Mus musculus: one gene and its partner. Each later gene encodes a partner of the first gene's protein in a complex. Links are inferred from orthologs where the notes say so. Each region holds a gene or a part of one and is shown in the gene's direction. Other genes may lie near its edges. The genes, in order: Taf1c and Taf1d.

Evidence for each region.
Region 2: Taf1c (region 1) and Taf1d share a complex: the UniProt entries of both Homo sapiens proteins name them as parts of the transcription factor SL1/TIF-IB complex. The link is inferred for Mus musculus from reciprocal best matches to the Homo sapiens genes TAF1C and TAF1D.

Annotation. Positions count from the first base shown.
Region 1 is NC_000074.6:119,602,198-119,606,480, reverse strand, and holds the start of Taf1c (TATA box-binding protein-associated factor RNA polymerase I subunit C), read left to right. Parts: upstream 1-1,274; 5' UTR 1,275-1,346; intron 1,347-2,102; 5' UTR 2,103-2,103; coding exon 2,104-2,241; intron 2,242-3,015; coding exon 3,016-3,100; intron 3,101-3,233; coding exon 3,234-3,331; intron 3,332-3,401; coding exon 3,402-3,491; intron 3,492-3,576; coding exon 3,577-3,650; exon of another isoform or gene 3,651-3,723; intron 3,724-3,834; exon of another isoform or gene 3,835-4,283. UniProt on the Homo sapiens protein: Component of the transcription factor SL1/TIF-IB complex, which is involved in the assembly of the PIC (pre-initiation complex) during RNA polymerase I-dependent transcription.
Region 2 is NC_000075.6:15,309,056-15,312,759, forward strand, and holds the end of Taf1d (TATA box-binding protein-associated factor RNA polymerase I subunit D), read left to right. Parts: intron 1-803; coding exon 804-979; intron 980-1,302; coding exon 1,303-1,354; intron 1,355-2,471; coding exon 2,472-2,640; coding exon of another isoform or gene 2,641-2,657; exon of another isoform or gene 2,658-2,853; coding exon 2,854-2,966; 3' UTR 2,967-3,049; downstream 3,050-3,704. UniProt on the Homo sapiens protein: Component of the transcription factor SL1/TIF-IB complex, which is involved in the assembly of the PIC (preinitiation complex) during RNA polymerase I-dependent transcription.

The DNA of each region.
Region 1 (4,283 bases):
TGTAGCTGTCTTCAGAGGCACCAGTAGAGGGCATCAAACCCCATTACAGATGGTTGTGAGCCACCATGTGGTTGCTGGAATTTGAACTCAGGACTTTGGGAAGAGCTGTCAGTGCTCTTAACCGCTGAGCCATCTCTCCAGCCCTGTGAGGGATTTTCTTAATCAGATTATTTGAAGGAGGAAGAGCCATCCTAAATCACCTTCTGGTGGCAGCCCAGATAAAAGAAATGGAAAAAGAAACCATGATTTGTGCCTGCTGGACCTCACCCTCACCGGCAAAACCATTTATTTTATGGCATTGCTGAAGTTTTCCTTTCAGTATTCAAATCAATTTCTTTAGGATTCCAACAGAGACTGAAGCTCGGCGGCTCTTTAGGAATGGCCCAGGACTACAGCACCAGATCAGAACTGCTGAGACAACCAGCCTCGTGGACGGAACAGTACCAAATTCTCCTTGCCATTTCTGTCATAAGACAGCTATTATTGAACTACGCAGATCACAGCCTGTAAGCCGGTCTAATAAAATCTCCTCTATTCCATACTCATTCAATCAGTTCTGTTCCTTTAGAGATCCCTTAATAAACTCAGGAACACAGATTTTTCTCCCTGAATAACTTGCTCCACCATGAAGACCGATTTATGAAGTTCTGATAATTACAGGACAAAGGAAAGTCAAACCCAAAGAAGTCGTCAAACACATTGGCGGGAATGTCATGTAGGTAGGTTGCAGTGACGCAGGAGAATCTGTTCCTTGTCTCGATTCTATCTGAAGATATTCTTAGCCTCCAGGCGATGGAAAGCAAGTGGTCAGCAGAGCCACGCGTCCTAAGTTTTACGCGATAGTGTCAGGACCAAGGCAACTTACAGGCAGAGCCCAGGACTCGCTGCATGCGAGCGAGTTTGAACAGATCCCCCAAAACTCGCAGGTGCACACACAAGGAATATTAGCTTGAGAATGACAAGCTAATATTCCCTCCTGGCCCCTGTTAAAGCCACACATGCACCCAGAGGTGTCTATGAAGCGGATTCTAGGACTTGTGGGTAATAAATACAGTGCGTGGCTCATCGGAGGTGCTCACTTGTTCGTTGAGAGGATCAATTCAAGCTTCTCAACACTTTTGTGAAATAGGATGGAAATTTCATAGCTTAGGCGCCACGACCATGCATATTGGCCCTCAGCTCTGCAGGTGGCGCTGGAGGACTCGGTTAGATGATCTGGGGGCGGGACTTCCTGTTTCTCGGGCGAACTTCCGGCCTGATCCGGAAAACAGTTTAGTCTGCTCCAACAGTTGTGGGTGGCGGCGTTGAGGTTCGGCACTCTGGCTCCTTTGCGGCCCCGGGGTCAGGTGAGGCTGTTGCGGGAATGCTGAGAGCACGTGGCAGACCACGTGGCTATAGAGACTGGTCGATTACAGCGCTGAGGCTCGTCCTAGATGCTGGCCACGAGGGAGGGCGGTCCGGGAACACTTGTGGTTACTACACACCGGTTTTCAGTTCAGACTCTAAATTCAGCGCCTTCACGTCTTGTCCAGCGGGTACTAGTGCTCTGCTGGTGCTCTTATTGCGGATGTTAGATTTAATTTTTACTAAAAATGAGGGCTGACTTGACAGTTACTGCTTCTAAAGAGTTCCTGCATTTATTCAGCCCACGGGCATTTTCGGAGAAGCCTGTGTTTGGCAGTGGGGAAGCAGGAATAGTACGCAGCCCATGTCCACAGAGGGGTGGAAGAAAGTCAGCCTGCTACTGTCATGCGCAGCGCGTTGATGAACGCTCAGCCTTCATCGGCATCACTTGGTCCTCCACACTCTCCCCTTTGTATATTCTGTGGTTGCTTATCTCTTTGGCACTTTACCTGCCACGAGGCCTTTTGCGATCACTTTCTCCCCAGCCCCTCTTCCAAGGTGTGAGCAGAGATATCTGTCTGGCTGCCCTCAAGAGAGTGAGCAGTCCTTGGGCAGCCCTGCTGACGCGCTGGCATTAGGCATAGTCTGGTCTTTATCTGCTACCTTGTAGTGGTCTCCCCTACTGTGTTCTGAGAACCCTGGTGCACTGTTGAGACTCCTAATGAAGGCGTGTGTAACGTTAGATACATTCTCTCCAGGATGGACTTCCCTGGCACCCTGCGCCCTTCATTGTTTAAGGCCGGTCCACTTGGCATGACTGATGGCCCTGACCTGTCCTTCATGTGCAGCTGGAGAGATGCACTGACCCTGCCAGGGTCCCAGCCACAGAACTGCAAGGTGAGGATGGAAATAGGGTCCTTTCCTTGGTCTGTTCCTCCTCCTTGCTCACTTATTGGGAAAAGAGGTCTAGGCAGCTGCTACTTGAGCTGCGCACCGGTTGCCCTGCTGTCCAGACAGTGTCTCTCAACAGAGGCTGTGGCTCCTCTTTCCTCGCTCCCTCTCCCTGGGTTCAGCAGGTGTTTATGTGTTGGGGTCCTTACAGGCCCAGGAGCCCAGCATGAGGAAGTCAGGCAACCCCACCTAAGGGACTTCCAGTTATGGTGAGAGACTGTACACCAACGGGCAGACCTTTTATAGTGTGGCCTTGACTTGCCTGAATTAGTGGAATGCCAGGGGCAGGATTTCTGCTCTTGGGAGGTCCATCTCTAGCAGCCTTGTATTGAGTACATTGAGGAGAGCATGTCAAAGAGAGGGTGTTGGGGGAGGGGAGTTCTTGGTCCTTGGGACAAGGGTGCCCACTGAATGGCAGGACTCAGAGGAGATAGCTGAGGAAGTTGGAGCTCATTGGGTTGTGGGTAGGCAGTCATGACTTAGGCGCTTCCTTTGAAAGCTGCTGTGAATGAAGTTTAGAATTCAGTTCAGACTCTGGAGTCGGTTGCCTGGGTTCAAGTCCATGCCTGTTTGTTGCTTCTGTCACCTAGGGCGGCAGCCTCATGCTTCAGGGTTCCTCATTAGCGAAGTGACCACCTTTTCACATTTGTCCCGAGGACTGAGTTAGTTAATTGGCAGGGATTGCACACCTGTCATGTTATTGCTGCCCCGTTTCCCTAGGATCCGACCTTGTCCTTTGCCAAGAACCTACTGTGGGAGCCATCGACGCCAGGACCCCTCCCCCTCCTGATGCCTCCTGATCCTGGTAAGAGTCTCTCTCCTTTTGGGCCCCCTCCAAGGACCTCAGCCATCACACGCACAAGGGGAACCTCAGACCTCCAGGGGTATCCTGTCCCCATTCCTTCTCAGGTTCTTCTCTGATCTCCTTCTCCCCTTAGATCCCTGGGACCCTGGTGTGACAGCTCAGGACTTCCTTTTCCGGGGAGGTCACTGCTACCAGTACCAGTCTCAGGCTGTGCTGGATGTCACTGAGCAGGTAAGTGTCCCTGGGTGAGACTGGTTCTCAGCGCCTGTGCTATGCTGACTCACACAGCTGTTCCCTCCAGCTCAGCCGCTTCCTGTGGGACCATGGGGACATAGCCTTCGCACCCCTGGGGAGACTCATGCTGGAGAACTTCAGATTGGAGGGGAACCGGGTAAGGAGCCGCCACCACCGGGTGGATGGTCAGCCGCCTCCCTGGTGAGACCCAAGGGTACCAACCTGACAGCCCTTCCCTGCAGGGCTACTCGAAAAAGATGACTATAGTCAGCGCGAAGAAGCTGCTTCAGGACCTCGGCGGACACCAACCCTGGGGGCAAGTAGCCAATGAGAGAGCAGCCATGGACTGGCCTGCCGTGAGATGTGGAAGGACCTGGGACACTGACCAGGTTTTCGTCATAGTGGCTTTTCCAGCCCCACACAGTCCTGAGCCATGAGTTCACAAAATCCCCGGCAGCGTAAGGGAAAAGCAGATTGGTCATTGGTAAACCTTAGGCGTGGGCTGCCAGACCTCCACCATCATGGGTCGCATGCACGCTCCCGGGAAGGGCCTGTCCCAGTCGGCGCTGCCCTACCGCCGTAGCGTCCCCACGTGGCTGAAGTTGACGTCTGACGACGTGAAGGAAAAGATTTACAAATTGCCCAAGAAAGGCCTGACTCCCTCCCAGATAGGTGTAATCCTGAGGGACTCACACGGGGTGGCCCAGGTCCGTTTTGTGACTGGAAATAAAATCTTGAGAATCCTCAAGTCCAAAGGCCTTGCCCCTGACCTCCCCGAGGATCTCTACCATTTGATTAAGAAAGCTGTTGCTGTCCGAAAGCACCTTGAGAGGAACAGAAAGGATAAGGATGCTAAATTCCGCCTGATTCTGATAGAGAGCAGAATTCACCGATTGGCTCGATACTATAAGACTAAGCGGGTGCTCCCACCCAATTGGAAATATGAGTC
Region 2 (3,704 bases), on another chromosome or scaffold:
CATCTCTTGCATCACTAGAGAAATGTGCACAAGCATATTTATCAGTGTGCACACAGATTTATGGAGTTGTACTCCAGCTGGGTCCCTTGAGGTCCCTTATATTATCTCTAGACTATTCTGAAGCACACCACACCCAGCTTGCTTTCAGCAGTAGTCAATCCTTTGAGTACAGGCGAGAGAGAAGGTATGGTACCATTTAAGGCCCACTTTTAGAAGTCCCAGGAAGGGCTGGAGAATAGGACCATGAAGGAAGCTGCTGGTCCTGGGCATTGTTAGCCTAGGACCTCTTGCTCAGAATGGTAACACCCACCCACAATCTAGGCAATCATACAAAGATCCTCTGTTGAGGATCCCTTCTAGGGTAATTCAGAGCTATGCCAAATTGACAGTTAAAAGTTAACTAGTCAAGGGCTAGAGAGAAAAACCCAAGTACCCAGATACTACTTAGGTTTCTCAAATGTTTGAGTATTAACTGTTGAATGGTTGCAAGTGGTCGGAAAATGTAATCAGTGATTAATGTCTACTTTGTATTTATTTGTGTATGCACGTGCAGACATGGCAGAGCTTGCCAGTTTGGGTTGTCTTCCTATTCACCTTGTTCTTATTGTCTTTACTACCCAAGTCTGGAATTACAGTAGAACCATCATGCACATAACATTTACGTGGTTTCTGTGCTCTCACATCTGGTCCTTTTGATGAACGGCAAGCCATTGTTTATTTAGCCTCTTGGTACAGTTTCAAACTTGATTATAATTAGTATATGATGTTTTAATATTTAAGGAATTGTGTGTTCTAACTTGCAGCAAGCTGTTGCAAGAGGATTTTTTCACCACATTGAAAAACTCAAGTATGAACACCACCTTAAGGAATGCTTGAAGCAAATGCATGCTGGGGAAGATTTAGAAAAGGAAGACCTTGACAGTCGGAGGCACAAATACATGGATGATGATGGTTCACTTTCTCCTATTGAAGAGCCATTGTAAGTTGGATCTTGAAGGGCAATTTATGGGGTTTGTCATATTTAAGCTAATTTAAAGACAGTCTCACTACTGTACAGCTTTGGCTAGGGTTGAACTCATTTACCTGCCTCTCAAGTGCTGGGGTGGGTGTGCCATCTATAAAATGAAGATCCTATAAAATTCTTCAGTAGTAATCGTAACTTCTAGTCCATTTAAGATTGTTTAATCTGAGGTAATGTGCACAGGACATCAGCTTTGGGAGGATTATTTTTCTTTGACTATAGGTTTCAATGGTATCAGAATACTAGGTAAGATTTGTGACACATTCCATTTAATGTTACAGAACTGAAGATGAAGCAACAAATCCTCAGGCTGAATGTGATATCAAGTTGGTTGTAAGTGGCTGATTTTTATTGTTTCATTTACAGAATGTACAAGTTGTATACTATTGAATTTTTGTTTAAGAGTGGAACTACTATTTAGGCTATTTGATAACCAAGGATTTTTTTTTTTTTTTGTGACTCTTCCTCTTAGTCCCAAGTGTTGGGGTCTGAAGCCTTGTCCACATTTATATTTATGCCAAGGTATCATACTGCTGAGTTATAACGCTAGCTTTGAATATTTGTAGGATATTGAGGCCAGAGGTTAGACTGGCCTCTTGAGACCTCAAACCAGTGGATTAACCTACCAGCATGGTCTTTGCTCCTGCTATTGGCTTACAAAATGTGTATCTCTGCCTGGCTCCAGTCTTAAGATTTTTTTTTTTAAACTCAGTATTATGTTTTGTTTGCATGTAAGTATACCAGGTGTATGCCTGGTGCCTGGAACTGGTAGGTGCAAGGAATTGAATCTTAGTCTTAATTAAGAGAAGAAGCCAGTGGGCTGGTGAGATGGCTCAGTGGGTAAGAGCACCCGACTGCTCTTCCGTAGGTCCAGAGTTCAAATCCCAGCAACCACATGGTGGCTCACAACCATCCGTAACAAGATCTGACTCCCTCTTCTGGTGTGTCTGAAGACAGCTACAGTGTACTTACATATAATAATAAATAAATCTTTAAAAAAAACAAATAAAAAACATTCAATTTAATATGTAAATGTTAATTGTTAAAACTTTAAAAAAAAAAGAGAAGAAGCCAATGTTGTGGCTTATTTTGTGCTGTTTATTCTATACTGTTTTCTACTTAACTGTGTGAGTGCTTTACCAGCATGTATACCTGATTAATGGAAGAGGGCACCAGGTCACATTTACCATATGGTTGCTGAAATTTAATGCAGTACCCCTGAAAGAACAGCCATTGGTGTTTAACTGCTGAGGCATCTTTCTAGCCCTGAAAAGCCAGTATTTTTAACCACTGATCTAGCTTCTGATAAAATAATAAAGAACTTTTAGCTAATCTGGTGTGCTGTCAAATGAGAAAATAGTGCTGGTATAGTAAGGAATATATTTGCACTCACCCATCAGTGAGTTTAGTTACTAGTTTTTTTGTTTTTTTTTTTTTCTATTAAATGCAGGAAGACAGTTGCTTCATAATAAGTTCAGAATTCTCAAGGAAGAGAAACTTGGAACAAGAGAAGATTAAGAAAGAATCTACATTTTCTAAAAAAGCCAAAGATGCCACACACAGAGAGAAAGGGCACAGAAGAACCTTGAAAGGAAATGAACATGTGACTATTGAAGAAGGTAAAGAACATAGATAACAGTGTATGCCAAGTAGATCAAGAACTAATCTGGGGAAGAAGATAAACTTGCTGGTGGAACGCTAATAAATACTTAGTAAAGCTTTTTTCGTTGCTTGATTTCAGAGTAAGAAATACTATAAGGATTATTTTACTACTATAGTAAACATGATTGTGATTCTGGAAGGAAAATGCTAACAATCCTATACATGTCTAGATTCAAGACCCCAGCCTCGCCCTTTTGCTCATCTGCAGAGCAAGGTCATGAAGAAAGGAGAGTTAGAGTATCTGGAGGTTCACCACCTCTGTGGTCTGTCGCAGCCACTATGACTATGAGGAGGAAGAGATGATTTGAAAATTGGATTAAACTCCTGGACTCTTATACTAGAAAAAATAAACTAATGATAAAACCCAGCCTCTTAAGTGCTTAGCCCAAATTATTTCATATTTGTGTGTTTTGCCTACATGCATATGTGTGCAGTACCCAAGATCAGAAGGTATCTGTGCCTGGAGATCTAAAGTTACAAGATGGTAATTAGCCAGCCATTGTTGGTTATGAATATGATTTCCTTTCCTATTCATAGATGGGCAGTGGTGGCGCATGCCTTTGATCCCAGCACTTGGGTGTCAGAGGCAGGTGGATTTCTGAGTTCAAGGACAGCCAGAACTATTCAGAGAAATAAAAAAAAAGTTATTATCTGAGCTTTCTCTTCGAACCCACACCCAGGTTCTGTCTGCAAGTCTTAAGTCAAACAAGTGCTTATCTTCCCCAAGGGGGGTTTGAATATTACCACTGTTCCTACTGTCCTATTGTGGTCACAATTGTAAAACTGGCTGTGTCAGATATGGACAGCTTTGATAGCACTTGTGTTTTTGTCAGCTGTTGGACAATGGCCAGTTGAACAGGTGCAAAAATATAAATCCTCTTGCAACCCAGAACTCATTGCTCAGTATGAGTTTTGATATATACAAGAAGGAATATAAGCACAAAGGTGTTATTGATGAACTTGGTTCTAGCAATATCATATATAGTTTACCTTATAAAGGTAATGGAGTAGATGGATATTC